Linked DNA regions of Neurospora crassa OR74A. The main gene of each other region encodes a partner of the protein of the gene in region 4 in a complex. Links are inferred from orthologs where the notes say so. Each region holds a gene or a part of one and is shown on either strand. Other genes may lie near its edges. The genes, in order: hat-4, NCU00444, NCU06491 and arp-4.

What was found.
Region 1: arp-4 (region 4) and hat-4 share a complex: the UniProt entries of both Saccharomyces cerevisiae proteins name them as parts of the nuA4 histone acetyltransferase complex. The link is inferred for Neurospora crassa OR74A from reciprocal best matches to the Saccharomyces cerevisiae genes ARP4 and ESA1.
Region 2: arp-4 (region 4) and NCU00444 share a complex: the UniProt entries of both Saccharomyces cerevisiae proteins name them as parts of the chromatin-remodeling INO80 complex. The link is inferred for Neurospora crassa OR74A from reciprocal best matches to the Saccharomyces cerevisiae genes ARP4 and TAF14.
Region 3: arp-4 (region 4) and NCU06491 share a complex: the UniProt entries of both Saccharomyces cerevisiae proteins name them as parts of the SWR1 chromatin remodeling complex. The link is inferred for Neurospora crassa OR74A from reciprocal best matches to the Saccharomyces cerevisiae genes ARP4 and SWC5.

Annotation. Positions count from the first base shown.
Region 1 is NC_026504.1:5,717,193-5,721,333, forward strand, and holds hat-4 (histone acetyltransferase esa-1), read right to left. Parts: upstream 2,807-4,141; 5' UTR 2,664-2,806; coding exon 2,584-2,663; intron 2,508-2,583; coding exon 1,067-2,507; 3' UTR 454-1,066; downstream 1-453. Other genes in the region: NCU11146 (aminotransferase), read right to left, coding at 1-109; NCU05217 (RNA exonuclease 4), read left to right, coding at 3,288-4,141. UniProt on the Saccharomyces cerevisiae protein: Catalytic component of the NuA4 histone acetyltransferase (HAT), a multiprotein complex involved in epigenetic transcriptional activation of selected genes principally by acetylation of nucleosomal histones H4, H3, H2B, H2A and H2A variant H2A.Z.
Region 2 is NC_026503.1:3,880,376-3,884,439, reverse strand, and holds the start of NCU00444 (transcription initiation factor TFIID subunit 14), read right to left. Parts: upstream 2,851-4,064; 5' UTR 2,020-2,850; coding exon 2,008-2,019; intron 1,826-2,007; coding exon 1,642-1,825; intron 1,551-1,641; coding exon 1,158-1,550; intron 1,086-1,157; coding exon 1,018-1,085; intron 945-1,017; coding exon 921-944; 3' UTR 1-920. Other genes in the region: NCU00443 (ran-specific GTPase-activating protein 1), read right to left, coding at 3,877-4,064. UniProt on the Saccharomyces cerevisiae protein: Functions as a component of the DNA-binding general transcription factor complex TFIID, the RNA polymerase II associated general transcription factor complex TFIIF, and the chromatin-remodeling complex SWI/SNF.
Region 3 is NC_026503.1:1,608,136-1,611,965, reverse strand, and holds NCU06491 (SWR1-complex protein 5), read right to left. Parts: upstream 2,399-3,830; 5' UTR 1,979-2,398; coding exon 1,647-1,978; intron 1,589-1,646; coding exon 892-1,588; 3' UTR 531-891; downstream 1-530. Other genes in the region: NCU06490 (hypothetical protein), read left to right, coding at 2,736-2,830, 2,890-3,805. UniProt on the Saccharomyces cerevisiae protein: Component of the SWR1 complex which mediates the ATP-dependent exchange of histone H2A for the H2A variant HZT1 leading to transcriptional regulation of selected genes by chromatin remodeling. Involved in chromosome stability.
Region 4 is NC_026501.1:2,713,474-2,717,597, forward strand, and holds the start of arp-4 (actin), read right to left. Parts: upstream 2,859-4,124; 5' UTR 2,690-2,858; coding exon 2,632-2,689; intron 2,551-2,631; coding exon 1,199-2,550; 3' UTR 741-1,198; coding exon of another isoform or gene 1-740. Other genes in the region: NCU02554 (golgi complex component), read left to right, coding at 1-740; NCU16367 (hypothetical protein), read right to left, coding at 3,340-4,124. UniProt on the Saccharomyces cerevisiae protein: Chromatin interaction component of the NuA4 histone acetyltransferase complex which is involved in transcriptional activation of selected genes principally by acetylation of nucleosomal histone H4 and H2A. The NuA4 complex is also involved in DNA repair.

The DNA.
Region 1 (4,141 bases), on a different chromosome or scaffold from region 4:
GTTGTTGGTGAGATGAGTGGAACCTAGATAAGGTTGGTGGTGGTTTTGGGACCATAGCTTTGTTATTAACCTGGCAGCGAGTGAATCTCAAATGCCGTGGTGAAACCATTCAGTTTATCTCAGCCTAACCCATTTGTCCGTCGTGATCGCCGTCGTGAATGATGTCGTATTGCGGGGAATCTAGGTTGCGGGGCCGGCCGGCCGGAGGTGTGGGGCTGGACGGGGCTGACGGAACACAAGCAATGGATGAGGTGACGTCTGGAGGTCTCACTACCGAATGCGGCCCGGGAGATCTCCGACGACTAGCCGGTATAACCAGTCACAAGCTTCAAATCTGCGAAAGCGGTCTGTAAGATCGGGGAATACACCCACGTTTGATGACGTCCAAAGCAGCCATGCTCTCAATAGTAAAGTCGGGAATCTTGAGCTAAACTTTCGTCAAGATTTTGTGCTGTAGCAAACAGGCTTTTTCGCTGATCATGAGTAGAGATTATGACTAGGCTCTGCTTCTCTATCCTGGTAATTATATTCCTAATCACTCGTAAAGAAATGACAAACCATTCTGGTGCTTTTGGCCGTAATAGTGATACATATGGTGTTCCTTTTTCCCCCCCTCCTGTAAGCCATTTCCCCAAGTGCCCGTCCAAAACAAAAACCAACGCCATATCATACTAACCAACCCGCTTGCTACCCATGCAATCTTGTTCTCATGACTATTACAACGAGAATAACACAGACATCCCAGCAGTAAGAGCGCTCGCTCCCCAAATATTGAATGATCCACCAAGACGACATACCACCTATTGTATCCATGACCCAATAAATCAACGAAACCATTGTAAAAATCCAACAAAGGTCAAGTGCACTTTGCGGCCATGTTAATGACCATTCTGTTTGCATACACTACTGCAAGGTTTCCAGTATCTGATCGATTCAGGAATTGATCTTCTTTTGTTGGCGTAATGCTGATGGTTTCGTTTTCTTTTAATTGGGTCATGAATCCGTGTGGTGGTGTCACGAGTGTGTCGTCTTGGTGTATCATTCAATATTTGCTGAGCGAGAGCAACTACCACCCCCATGTCCGATTAAGCGCCGTGAACACCGGTGGCTTCCACTGGATCCTCTCGGGATCAATCAGCCTCTTTTGCTTCGCTTTGCTCTTCTCCCTCTGCTTGATCAGCTTCTCCGGTACCACAATCTTGTGCTCGCCCTTGTGGTACACCTGCATCTTGAGCGCCTGCAACGTATGTTCCACATCCTGTGTCGTCATGGCCAGGGCAACAGCAATGTTCTCAATCGTGCAAGCTTCCTTTCGCTCGTTGTACCCGAGCAAGATATCGATGATGTTCTCGGACCAATACTGTCTATATGACAGCAGACCCAGATCGGACAGGGGCTTCTCGGGCGAGCCGAGCTTGCCTTCGATTTTGGACAGTTCGTACGAGAATTGGATGAGCAGGCGACCGTATCCCTTGCGTTGGTACTGCGGAAGGGTCAAGATACAGGCGACGTTGTAGCCGTCCGTAGACTCTTTTTCTTTGGAGAAGTACCCGATGATGTGGCACCCCCGGTCGTCGCGGGTGGTCATGACGTAGAACAAAAACGGGTCGACATCGTAGTAAAGGGTTTTGTGGTCGAGAAACATCTTGGACAGCAAGCAGAGGTTGCGACACCAGGTGCGCTGACGTCGCCCGTCGATTTCGAAAAAGGAGACGTAGTCGTCCCGGTAGATTTCGTTTCCGGGCGGGTGGTGTAGAGTGCACTTTTGTCGGTGACGCACAAAGGATTTCAACTCGCCGTAGTACGAGAGACAGAACTCGCAGATGTAGATGCAGTCTTCTTGGTCAAAGATCTGCGGGTAGGGCGAGAAATACCACGGGAAGAGGACGTAGCGGCCGAATTCCACCTTGGAGATATTCCGAATGCGCGAGATCTCGGTAGGGTTCTGTGTCATGGAGCCGGATGTTCGCAACTTTTCAATCTCTTGTTCCCTGGAAAAAGACGGCTGGCGTTGTTTCTTAGCGGCTGGTATTTCGTCCTCATCCATATCGATCTCGTCGGCTTTCCTCTTGACTCCCTTGTCCCCACCAACCTCCAAACTGGCGTTGACGTCGGTTCCATCTTCCGTCTTCCCCCGTTGCCTGTTATTCTTCCCTGGCTGGCTTTCGACAAACTCGGTCCATGGGTGTGGTGTCTGCCCGTCCGATGCGACTGACTGCTCCCTCTTGCTGGCCTTTTTCTGGTTGTTCTTCTTGGACGGTTGCTTCTTGGATACCGTCGAGTTGTTTTTCTTGGTCTTGGCGTCCTTCTGCTTGTCCTTGTCCGGGTTGGGCCACTCGACGTCCTGCTCGAAATCGATTCTGGCGGCCGGCACCCATTCGTCGAGACGCTTGTTGAAGTTGTCAAAGTTGCAGTAGAATTGCCGGCCGGACTTGGTGTCTTTGATACTGAGGATCTCTGCTCGTCGTAATTGGCCTTCTTTCATCACCATGGCAATACATCCCATTCTGTTTGGTGGTGTTAGTATCTGGTTTTTCAACGACGATGGGGGGTGCCGTGGACAATGATGGGACGGAAACATACTTGATGGTGTCGGGCGTCGCCTTGCCCTTCTGTCGCTTCTCGTCGGAGCCGACAGTGGCATCGCCACCTGGGGGACTCATGATGGCGGCTATGTGTGATCCAACTGTATATGATTCGGTCGATAACTTGCGATGGTTTGCGACAAGATTTGATGGTTGTGGACGATGGGCGATTGAATGCGATCAATCTGACGGGCGACGCGCGACGTCAGTCTTGAAGTGTTTTGTAGTGTTCAGCGACTCTTTCAGTGGACGCTTCCCGAACGTTTTGGAGGGGTCCTTCAGTGGCGAGCCCACGTGTTTGGGCCGTCATTTCAGCGGGGATGCAATGGGACACAGCGGCAGATCCCTGCATGGCTTGCCTACCCTGTCAATCGTCCAGGAACCGATTTCCCCAGTTGAATTTTTAAGTGAACACCAAAGTGGGGCCCATATTCAACATCCACTTTCACGTTCATACAAAAAAGTTATCACCTTCTGGAAATCTTCCGTTTGTCTCAACCTTTTGTTTACTTTCTCTCATTCCAAATAAGAATTCAGCACCAATTGGACTCCACATAACCTCGGCCGCCAATTTGTGATTGGACATACCACAAGTGATCCCTCATCGGCAGTGACACCCTCACTTGTCTGTCTTGACTCAACACTCCATCACCACCACCACCATCAAAATCACCAAGGCAGGAGACCCTCCTGTCACCAACCATGGCCCCGGAACTCTCCTCCAACTGGAAGAAGTTGCAAGAAAAGCTCAAGGCCCCTCAACCAACCAAATCAGCTCCCATCAGCCAAGAAGCCGCTTTCAAGCAAGCCATTTCCAAAAAGTCCATTTCCTCCGAAACCCTCAAGCGCAAGGCCGAGGAGAGTCAACAACAGCAACAAGCCTCCAACCCTTCCAAGAAGCCAAAAAGACAAAAGTCCCAAACCCAGTCTCAACCCAGCAGCCAAAAACCAACAGAAGAAAAAATGGGCGGCAACGTCCAATCCAAGCCCACCACCTCCTCCTCCCCAAACAGCACCCTCCCCTCCCTCCACCTCTGGGCCGACGAACAAGGCATCTCCTCTGAATCCCTCGCCGAAGCGTACAACCTTGGCCTCCGCGGCACCTCTTCTTCCTCTTCTTCTTCACACATCCCTCTCCTCTCCACCCTCCCCCCCGCCATCCCCAACGCAGGCCTCACCCTCCCCGGCCATTCTTCTTCTTCCCCTAAAAGCAACAAAAATGGCCTCCCCTTACCAACCGACCTTCCCTCATCCCTCACCCTCTCCAACGGTCTCACACTCGACACTTCCACCACCACCGACCTCGCACTAATCCTGCAAGCAACCAAGTCCAACACGCTCGGCAAATACCTCTCCATCGACTGCGAAATGGTCGGCACCGGTCCCTCGGGCGCCACCAGTGTCCTCGCTCGATGCTCCATCGTCGACTTCCACGGACACCAAATTTACGACTCGTACGTTCGCCCCACTGCTTTCGTGACCGACTGGCGCACGCATGTATCAGGCATTTCCAAGCGCCACATGGCGTCCGCACGATCGTTCGAGTCCGTACAAGC
Region 2 (4,064 bases), on a different chromosome or scaffold from region 4:
ACCGCAGTAGCTCCGGATATAAGCCAAGAGCTCATGCCTGAAAAAGATGGCTATCTGGCAGGGTGCTGGCAGATCTATAGCGCTCTAGTCCAGGCACAGGAGACACGGAGACTAAGGCGAACGGACAGTTACTGCTGCTCCATACCCTGAACTGTGTAAACTAAACCATACAGCATGTTCTCTGCTTCTAATACCGCCATACGACGAGCAACGTAGAGAGACCGTGATCGAGAACTAGGTACCGCCTACAACATAACCGCTTCTCTTTCCCTTCCGAATTCCATGGGCGTGGGATCTATTACATACCTCCTTTCTACCTCTTACCCATCCTTTCCCGAACCTTTCTTTCCAATAAACAGTCTCAAATTTCCCTATGACGATCCTACCTAGAGGGGCAAACCTTGCACATGATAAGGTTCAAGGTCCGCCCAAAGCACAAACTGATTAGCGATGCCACTCCCTTCCAGTGAAGAGCAGTCCTCACGAGCAGACACCACCAATCAAGGCAACGATCCCACCGGCAGAAAGGAAACGGTTCAACGGAACACACCCTAGACCATCGAATATCACGCAAAGAAAGAAATCTGGAAGATCAAATCAAGCACAAATTTTGTCAAGAGAAGCTCTTGAATCTTTCTCAATTTTTGCTTTTTGCGTATCCCACCATAACTCCATAAACGCCACGGTAATGCAGGAGCCGAAGAAGCCTAAGGCTACAATGGCATGATGGTGAAGGTGGTTGATGTTGATGTGGATGGAAGTGTCAAGGGATCAATAATAGTGAATAAAGAGGGTGGTGGTGTACTGGGTATGGTATGGTGCGCACTGCGATCTAGTAAGGAAGAATGTTCCCGTCCCTGATGACTTCGTAAATCGATGGCCATCGACTACTGTAGGTTACTTGGACCAAGGAAGTCGTACTATGAGACTACGTTGGCTTTGACCTGTGGTAATATTAGCGATTTAGCTACAGAAGGATCCGATTGAGGGGGCAAAAGAATGGGAAGAACAACTTACCAAGAACTCCCAGAGCATCTTCATGAGGTTGTCAGGAAGAGTGTAGAGATCCACCGAGAACTCGCCCGCTATAGACATGTCCAGTCAGCCATCAGCTCGTGTTGCCTCCAGGGGCCACACTCCCTAGCGGGCAAACTTACCATCGAGGTTGTTCTGGATGTACGTATTGTCATCCTTGTGATCGTGGATCATCTGAATGACCTGCAGGAGGTCATCCTCGCCCAGCTTCGTCAAGCCATCCGCCATACGCTCGATGTCGTAGGGCCGCTTCTTCTTGGAACCGCCGTCCACCGCCTTCTTCTGCTTGCGCTCCTCGTCCGAGGGCAAGGGACCCGTCTCTCTCAGGAGCTGCTGGAGCGCCTGAGATGGGTTACGGAAGGTGACGGTATGGATGTTTTCGTACTCTGATTGCTGGAAGTTCAGGTCGTGCGCGATCGAGATCTTGCCGCCTTTCTCGGTGGTGTACATATCGATGATCATCTCAAATTCACCCCAGCCCTCGTTGGTGCATTTGAAGGGAGGATCGTTGAAAGCTGAATTTGCGACGCGTTAGCCAACCTCTGGCTCTCGAGACACAACAGAGATGGGGAGAGGTGACCGGCGGCCGCTCCGGTGTCTACTTACTCTGGATAGGGTTCGCGAACGAAGGGTGAAGGTTGTAGGTCACCTTCGTGAAGCACCTGGCGGGCCTCTCCTTGCCATCTTGGTCGAGAATATAGAGCTCGACCGTCCACTCCTTCATGGGGTAGCCCTCCTGTGCCGCCGGCTTGTTGATATTGTGTTGTTCTGTGACAACCTTGATCTTGCGCTGTAGACAAATAAACCCACGTTAGCCGTCGAATCCATTTCCCGAACAACAGCTATCCCGGAACGTTCTCCTCCTAGGGCCTTTCCTTTCCCTGCCTCTGCACCTGTTCTGTATGCCGCTACAGTGGTCACCCTGTTTGCGCAAGCTACCAACCACACTGGACTGGGAATCCGGAAACTAACCTCGACGATCATCTTGTTTGCGCCTGGAACCCGCTTCGGATTCCTTCTAGTAGCTTTGGTTCGAGTATTCTTACTAGCACTACTGGGAACGTCCGACCGATCCTCAAGGCCCTCTGCTTCCCAGAAATTGGATGGATTCCCGCGGTTAGCTTTGTGTACTTCTCTTCACTTGCTCGTGTCCTAGTACTCGAACAGCACTCTTTTGACAATCGGCGTTCGGTCGGTGTCTCGAGTACAGGACAGTAGTAAGACAGTGGCGTTCGGGCTCTTGAGGAAGAGCAAGGATTCGAGGATGTACGACGTTGTTGTATCCGTTGGGCTGTCTGGCAATGGGCTCTATAGTGTTTGGTGTGTTGTATGTGTTGGTGTGTCGCAGATTCCGTCGCGCTGCTAGAGTTGGGCTTTGTAGCGGTAGAGAATAAGGTCGTCCGTTACGGAGGGGTAAAGGTACCGCGGCGGGCCGTGGCGTGCGGTTGGGAACCAGGGATAATGATGGGGATAACGTAGCTCTAAGGTGTATAGCGTACAAATTGGGATAGGCAAAAGTTGGATGGGAACGCGATCGTGATCGTGAAGAGGGGCTAAGGTTAAGAGCGTGTCTCCTCTCTGATGGCCTTGGGTTGAAAAATGCTCAAGGGAGTGTTCAAGCAAGGCAATGTGGGAAGGTTTTTACTGAGTTATGGTGCTGATGCGACTTGGATGGTTGGGAATTTGGGTCACTGTGCAATATATGTACACTCCGATGAAGTTGGTTCAAGCGGGACATACCTTCGTCATTCGCGAACGGAGGCGTCGCGGCGCCGCCATAGTCAAAACCGTAACCATGGCTGAAGTCGACCATTGTCCCGTCGCTAGCACTCAGTGAGGTACCGCTGTGCGTGCTGTGGCTGGTGCGCTGTGATGCAGTGAGCGTCAGCTCGCTTTGCCGGCATTCCTCTACCCCTCACCGTGGATGTAAGCAAGGTGAGCTCACCTAGGTGAACGAAGATATCACCACTCTAATCGAAATATCGCGATGATCGAGAAAGCAGAAGTCTTGGAAAGAAGTTGTCAAAGACGACGGTGATGCTGAAGTAGACCCTGAAATCTTGAAGTAAATTGCTCCAAGATGTGATTTTGCGTCGTCGGGAGAAGAGTAGTGAGAGACCGCTGGCGAAGAAGAGGATCGTCGTCAGCTCGCCGTAAGGTAGTCAAGAAGAGAAGAAACCTCCAAAACCGCAAAACAACCAGATTTTTTATACGGTCGTCGCCAGACCGCGTCACGGACGACTTGGCAAACGGAATTCAGTATTTGTGTTTCTTTCAAGACAGGCTCAGGTTTCCGTCAGCTAGCCAGTCCATCAGATTCGTCTCATGTTTTGGTGGACCATCGTGCTAAGCCGTCAGCCAGGTATGACGAGGCGAGGTTGTGTGTACAAGAACTTGATCAAAAACCCCCAAAGGCAATGCATCGGTGTGAAGGGTAGTGAGTTGTTCTATCTAAAACTGTTGGTTAAGCTAAAGGTTATTTAGATCCCTTAAGAGTAATCCCCATCCTCATCCTCCTTGCCAGCCATAGTTGCAAAAGGGCCGTCGCAGTATGTTACCAGTATATTGAAATCTCGTCAAACGCACACCTGAATAGTGCTTTCATGTCGGATACTTCAACCTTTTGTTCTCGCACACGCTGCCCATGTACCAGCTCTCTAGCCTAGGAATCATCATCGTCATAACTTCTGTAGCGGTCCTTTCATTCATTCCATCGCCCAGCCCATGGAGGTAGTAATGTCATCGTCCCCTCTAACACCTAGCAAAACGGAAAATAGAACGGGGTGGTTGAAAAACTTTCCCTAAAGCAACTTCAAATTCATGCAAAACTAGACCACACATCTACTCGGCCTTCTCGTCCTCGGAATCCTCCTCAGCCTCCTTCTTCTCGGCGGCCTCCTCGGCAGCCTTGAAGAGAGCCTCGTTGTCCTTCTGGGCCTTGATAAAGGCATCCTTGAAAGCGTTGGCGTTGTCGGAGTTGGCAAAGCGGATCGCGAGGGTGACGGCCTCGGGCTCACCCTCGGAAACAT
Region 3 (3,830 bases), on a different chromosome or scaffold from region 4:
CAGCTTCGACTACTGGTCGGTAAGAAGGGGGGTAAGGTAGAACCTCTCAAGCAAGTCTACCTTCAAGGTTATTTTCAGATCTCAAAAGGGCTTTTAAGGCGTGTGTACATAGGTAGAGGTACCCAACAACCTTGGATGGTTGAACTACCTGTTGAAGACAGGAAGTCAGACGTAGATAATCTTCCGTTGTTGAGTTTCTAGACATTCTCAACTTGGAGGAGAGGTCGTTGATCTAGTACTGAATCAGCGGAAACCAACCCCCCAAATAATCGAATAAGCTCCCAAGATACATTGGGAAATCATTGTGAACAAAGGACCAAAAAGCGTTGTCGTCGGCATCCACTGCCAGTGGCTAGGTACCCCAGACTGGTGTTATGGAGCCATTCAACAATAAAATCGTCCAAAAAAAAAAAAAGAAATTGGAAAAAAAAATCACTTCGACGTGGGCCTGATTCGAACAGACGCTCCCGAAGGAACAAGATTTCTAGTCTTGCGCGTTAGACCACTCCGCCACCACGCCAGTTGATGATTGGTTGATGATAACTGCATTGAGAAGTTGGGATCATGAGTCAGACAGCGTGGTGCATGGGTACAACTTGCCAAATGATTTCTGGATGAGAAATGCATGTTCCTTTGCAATGTGACCAGGAATTGCAAGGAATTGATATGTGACTGTGACCCTGAGTTCATGCAAGTCGTGTTTTGCTTGGTGTCTTCAACGCGTTGGAAAGTTCCGATATTGAAAACTGGGGTATCTCTATTTGGCGAACGTAAGAAATGAAATGGTGTTGCATAGTGCTGTCCTTCCAAACTTGTAGTGGTAAGGGAGACGCCATCCATACAACAATAATAGGCAAGCGACCAATGGATTGACTGGAGATCGTGACACGCTCACGTCTTCCCCGCCTGCGCCATCCTCGCCCTCCTCGCCTCCTCCTCCCTGCGCATCTCGCTCCTGGCCAAGAAATCCTGCCTCGCCGCAAACGAGTCCTTGGACTTGCCGGCCAGCTCGAGCTCGTCTTTGAGGCCCATCTTGTCGACCGCCACCGCCCAGTCCATCTTGCTCTTCTCGACCGTGTTGAGCTTCTTGGCCTTGTTGCCCGTGGCTTCGCGAGCCTGCAGGCGGGAGGCCATGCTCAGGTTGAGGTCGGAACGATGCGCCGAGTTGGCGTCGGTGATGGGCTCGAAGACGGACCGGAAAGCTTTTCGGGGCATGCGCTTGGCAGAGGAGGACTCGTCCTCGGCGGCTGTTTCGCCGTCCGCTGGAGCGTTCTCTCCGAGAGAGGCGAGATAGAGTTTTGCTTCGGCAGAATCGCGGGCAACGAGCTTTTCTTCAGTGTGGACTTTGCCGGCGAAGTTGTAGGTTCTCTTGATCTTTATGAGGTCGGAATCGGGATCTTTCGCCTTGGCTGTTTCTGGCTGCTGGGATGACGATTTCGCGATGTCACAGTTCGCTGGATCGGCGCTTTCGTCTGGTTTCGCTGTACTTGTTCGTGGTATGACCGGCTCGCTGATCATTTGCGCCCAAAGGGCATCGACGTCGATTGTAACAGGTCCGCTGGCGGCGGCTGTTGAACGTTTCTCCTTTCTGCCATTGTCGTTAATGCCCAGGACCCAAAGAGAAGAGGGTTGATGTGAGAACATACTCAACAGCGCGTTGGCTGCGCGTCTTGATGAGACCGCCCTCGCCAGTTTCCTCATCGTCGGCAGCAAGTTTTGTCTTTGTTTTCTTTTGACGTTTCTCCCCCTTCTTTATTATAGCTTCATCTCCAGAATTGTCATAACCAGCGTCTTCCGCCTCCTCGATGGCAGCGCGTTTCCTCTTCTCGGGTTTCGCTTTCTCGGCATCTTCACCGGCTTCTTCGTCGTCATCGTCGGATATTGATGATTCTCCCGCGGCTTCGGCAGTTTCTGGGGCGAAGTCGGAGTCTTCCTCTGACGCGTAGTCTTCTGCAAGAAGCTCTAGTGTTGGCGCCATCTTGGTATCTCGCGAATATAACAGTCTGGTCTTCCTCAAGCTATTCGCGTAAAATTCTCGTTGCCGTGTGTGTCGTCGTTCCAAGAATGGTACCTCTTCCAAGTATCGTGGGCCGGAATATTAAAGTGGAAAAGTGATGAAGGGAACAAGGACGGGATCCATGTCTTTGTCCGATCGACTGCAGCGTGACAGTGGAAACACAAACGCTCTGTTAGCAGCCAATAGGGCAGCTTGCCGTCATGTCGCCGCTGTTCGGCTCAAGCTCCCCCGCATCACGCCCACACCTTCCTTGATGTCCCGCTGAAAACGCCCCGCAACCGGGAACCTTTTTAGAGTTCCGTTACTATCATCCGATGACAAGCTGGATCTGCCCCTGACGACGGGATGTTGTCAACCACACCACTGGGACATGATGTTCAGGTTCAGAAAGGCCGCTATCACGAAAATGGAAAACTGGTGATGCCGTACTCTCCAATAAACCTGGCGATATCCAATAGGGTATTTCTGGTTAAACCAAAAACCACCCCGCCGGTTACACGTAGCCTAGGGCGCCTACGGAGCAAGGATGGATTACCTAGCTGCCTCGTGGCGCAGTGTGAGGCGGCATTCCATTCGGAGTCCGGAGTTGTCGTGACAGTCGGATTGATTAGCCTGGGTTAGTTTCTGGCGGGATCTTGAAAAGAGTATATAAGGGTAGAGATAGCTTGTCGGCCCCGTTCCAGTCTATAGCCTTGTTCTTTACGCTACTTTCTACAGGATGTGTCCCAAAGGCAACATCACACTGAACATGTCGTCGTCATCTGCTCTGAGTCTTGAAGAGAAGGAACACTTCCTCACTCATGGCTGGGTCAAGTAGGTGTCATGCCACCATACCAGCTGTTCAACCTCGTTCGAGGTACTGACCATGCCAGGATCCCGGCTGCCTTCACGCAGCAGAGAGCACAGGAAATCATCGCCAATGTTTGGACGAGACTAGGAATGGATCCAAACGACAAGTCCACCTGGAACAAAGAACGTGTCAACATGCCCTCACATATGGAGTTCGACGCTGCAGACTTTGCCCCTCGTGCCTGGGCAGCCATCAGCGAGCTTTGCGGCGGCGAGGATAAGATCGCGAACTGGTCGAAGAAGTGGAAGGACTCCCTTATCGTCAACCTGGGCACACCACAGAAAGAAGGGAAACCAGTCCCCCCGCAAAAGCTGGACAATTGGCACGTCGATGGTGACTTCTTCGTCCACTACCTTGACAGCCCGGAGCAGGGCCTGCTCGTCATTCCTCTCTTCACCGATATCATGCCCGAGGGCGGCGGGACCATGATCTGTCCGGAGGCAATCCCTATCCTCGCCAAACACCTGTACGAGCATCCCGAGGGTGTCTCGCCACGTATGGCACCCCGCAGCGATGCCGAGTTCAAGCAAGAGCAGCATCTCAACTGGTTCAACAACACGGCCAAGGGTTGCACCCAGTTTGTCGAGGCAACAGGCAAGGTCGGAGACGTGTACTTACTTCATCCGCTGATGCTGCACTCGGCCTCCAGCAACGCGAAGAGGAACGTCCGCATCATTACCAACCCGCCAGTAGCGCTGAAGCAGCCGTTCAACTTTGATAGGGAGGACGGCAACTATTCACTCGTCGAGCAGGTGACGTTGCGGGCTCTTGGAAAAGACCGCCTGGAAGGCTGGAAGATTACCAGGCCAAGAGAACAGATTGTCCCGGAGAGAGTCAGGATCCAGGAGAGGATGAAGCAGGAGGAGCTGGCGAGGTTGGAGGCTTTGAAGAAGGCGGCCGGCCCGGGAGCATCACAGGGTGTACAGGCGGCGGCATGATATTTTGCGGACGTTGTGCGTTATT
Region 4 (4,124 bases):
CCTTCCTCCGTATTCTTCGTGCGTTCCTCACTCGCGCCGCGGCGTCGTCGCCTAACCTTGCAGATCTCCGTTCAGTTCTCTCCAGTATCTTCGCCGCATACGCATACGAAGAATCCATCCTTAGCCTCTCAAACCGGCTTTTGGAACGCAGTCTTTTTGTGAGTGTAAGCCAAGCCGTCCAACTCCGCCAGCGAGGTTGGCGTCCTAAAGGCTCCACCTGCGAGGCCTGCGGCCGGCGAGTTTGGGGTCCTGGTGTGGCGGGTAATGTCTACGAAGCGTGGGAAGATCGCCAGGCTGCTGAGGAGAGTCAACGCCAGGCGAGGAAGCAACTCACCATGAGCAAAAACAAGGCGGCGAGTGCTACTACTGAACGGGGGAAGGGCAAGGATCATGCGTGGCCGGCAACGGACGGGCCCCAGGGTGGGGAGAAGTATAATGGAAATGCAAATGGAGATGGAAAGGGGAAGGGCAAGGGAAAGGCTGTGAGCCCGCAATTGAAGCAGCAAGGGGAGTCAATGAACGACCCGAACCAGCAAGCAAACACTTCTGGACATGAAGGCGTGCAAGGGCCAATAGTGGCAAACCGGGAACAGAAGCTTAGCCCTCTGGTTGTGCTGGCCTGCAGACACATCTACCATCAAGCATGCCTGGACGCTCTTGAGATGAAACATGGGGGCGCGGTTTCCAAAGGAGCTAGTTTTGGAACGAAGAGAGAGTATAGCTGCCCCATTGACAGGTAGGACTGATGAGAGGATTATGGATTGTCTAGAAGAAATTACACTTTGTACGTAGAAGCTTTACGGTGAATGAACTACTTGGAGACAGTTGAAGCTCTGGGATCTAGCCGTGATTAAAGTCAAAACTGGCAATACAGGCAATGGTTGGCGTGTATCTTTCATAAGCTGAAAGCATTGAAAATCCATTTCTCCGGAACGCCTCCGCGCCATATCGTGCGACCATAACATACACCTGCCTGATAATTAGCGACGTAGAAAATATCATGCCCATCTTATATGACCACCACACTCCACCCCACACAAACTCCATGAATGTGTGAGCACTTTAGGCATCAACCATTGTGGCCTGACTTGGAATCCGATGTTTTGTAGCCTCCCGCCATTTCCATAGCGCGGCGTGGGAGGGTTTTCCACTTCATGCCTCGACAACTTTCTTTTTCTGCAATTGACAAAGTGAAATCCTACTTGCAGCGCTTCTCGACAATGCCCGCGCCGTTCTCATCATATTCCTTTCGCGAAATCCACATTTGGTGGAAGGTTCCGAGACTGGCGAGAATGCTTCCTCCGATCCAAGCACCGAAGCGTCTCTCGGTCGTCAAACCCGCCGCATGGATCTTGATCTTCACACCGGGGTACATTTGCGCGAGCTCGTGGTTGAGACGGTCGTTGAAACCGTTCAACAAGCTTGTACTACCCGTGACAACAACGTTGCCGAGGATGTTGGGGCGGAGATCAACATCAACACCCTCGAGGGCCGCCTTGATGAGAGCCGGGATCGTCTGAGCCTTAGTAACACGTCCTTCCTCGTCAGTGCTGTTATAGGCAGCCGTCTCGTCCCACATGCCCTCCGACACCTTGAAGCGCTGCTCACGCCACATCTGATTGCTGCCGTCGGGCATCTCGAAGACCCGGCCGGGTTGTGTACGGACAGCATCTTCGTTTCCGGGGGTCGTGAACCGCTGGGGACCACGCCACACCTCGACAACAGACTCCTTGAACTCGGTGAGAACACGCTCTTCCTCGTAAGCGCGGAAGGACGGGTGGATGTCGAAGTTAAACTTTCGCAGGTTGGCTTCGGCAGGCGCACCGGCCTCCACGGGCTTCTTACTCTCGACCATGAACCGCGGCACAACGTCGACCTTGGGCTCACTACCGTCCCACATCTTGCAGATCTGGCTGCTCAGCCAAACACCGCCCACCGGAGACCTTTGAATCGATCGCTTGAGGACCATGCCGTCGTGGATGGCCGTGACACTCGTGTTGGCACCGCCCACGTCTATTACCAGAGCCGTGGCCTTTCCGGCCGCAAATGCTGCGAGCACAGGTGTCTTGCTAAGCCAGAATGCGGGCACGCCCCAAGTCTCCATGCTGATTTCGATGGCCTTCTCGCGCGCCTTGGGCGAGTTCCACGGCGCTTCGGTCATAAGAAGAGGGTTCTCGGCCAGTGGCTTCTCCAGCGCGTCCGTAGCATCCTCGTTGTTGTTTCCATCGTCTTCCATGGGCACATCGCCATCGTCACTAATGTTGATACCCTTTTTGCTGGGAGGTGTTGATCGCTCGGGCTGCAAACGCTTGACGAGAACATGTTCCCACATCCTGGTGGCAGCATCCCAATCTTCGACAACGCTGTCGCGGTTCATGTAGTTGCGCACTTCGAAGCCCGGTTTTGGCACGATATACTCGTCGCCGAATACGTCACGCCCATTGATGTGGCCGTAAAAAGAAGGGAGAACTTGCTTGGGCATTTCCTCGCCAGCATAGCCGGCGCGAGTGTTGCAGTAGCCCGGATCGAGAACAAGCGCGGATACCTCATCTAAGGAAATAATCAGCCGTCAATTGCAAGCCTTGAAGCTTGGGCAATGTCGCTGGTCAGAGGCGTTTGGACTAGGCTTACCTCCGCCATAGATGTCAGTCGGCTGGACCGACGACGAGAGAGGTTGTTGGTGGGACATGTTAGGCACCGACGCTGTATAATGGAAAATCGCTGAGGTGTATTATCGGAGGGCAAGAAGTGGTGTGAGCGGGGATCTCCAAACAGCGCTGCGCGTCTAATAGCTCGGTCCCGTCGCGTTCCGTTGAAGTTCGATGAACTGGAAATCAAATGGAATTTGACAACGGAGCTTCAAAGACGAGGGGCGCGCGCGCGTGAATACCAGTAAAAGGCCGGACAGGCTCTCCTCCAGCTACATAAAAGTGGGGCGCGGTACGTACCTCTACGGTAATAGGGCATCAGGGACAGAAAATGGAAATAGCAATCCAACGAACCTGTCAAGAGCTCTGTTAACTTGTTGATAGGTCTTTTAAGCTTGAAGAGAAGTAAGACGCACATGAGCAGTTAGCTTTGGTTAAACTCCTCAAAGATTGTCGCTGGCCTGTCGTTGCTGATCCAGAGCCCACGAACTCGCTAGAAGTCCTAGAAGTCAAAGTTACGACATCCATGGGAAGTAGAACTCTCAGCTGTATACGATACCGACAACGGATTCACCCAGAGCATTATGCCACCCCCAAAAAGAACAAATGGGTATCATATTTCACAATGGACAAAACAACAATACAGCAGAGATCAGGTGTCTATCCTGTCTCAGGACCTTCATAACCTGTGTTAACTCCATCGACCAACTCTCGAGCCATCCAGTCCATTCCCAGGACTATGCAACATCCCCTTTCCTTCATAGTCCTCCTCATCCTCCTCACTCTCCACCCCTTTCTCCCTCCCCTCTCCATACAAAACCTCACAAACTCCCGCCAGTGGCACATCCATCACCGCATCCGTCCCTTCATTCCAGACCTCCCTCCAATTCAATCCTCCCCCAGGTAAGAGCACCTCCCTATCCGTCGACCCATGCCTCCCATGTCCATAGCCATGCCCATACTGTCTCTTCTCCTCCTTGATGCCACATTTCTTATCATGCCTAATGATTTGGCCCTTCCCATCCACCACCGCCACCTGCGCCGCCTCATCCACAATCGTCTCAATCGATCCCAACGGCAGTGTGAGGTACTCGGTATTGTAAGCCGCCAGCGCCACGTAGATGTACACCAGCGTCATTGTCAGGAAACTCGGAATGGCCAGCGACCACCACCGGTTGGGGTAGTAGTAGATGCCCAACGCATGCAGGAACGGTGAAGGCAGGTAGGCCCACAGTAGGTAGATCAAAAACGACAGGCTGCTGAAGAGGTAGAGGACGAAGCCGTAGTACTCGTACGTGGGTACGCGGGGGCTGGCGCGCGGGAGGGGCTCGTTGCTGCCCTCTGGACCCCCACCGCCGCCGTTGGCTACTGTCTCGTCGTCGGAGGCGTCCGGGGTAGTGGGACGCGAGGGGCGCAGCAGGGAGGTTAAAGAGGGGGAGGGTGGGAGAGGGGTCGGTGGGCGACCGTAGAAGGGAG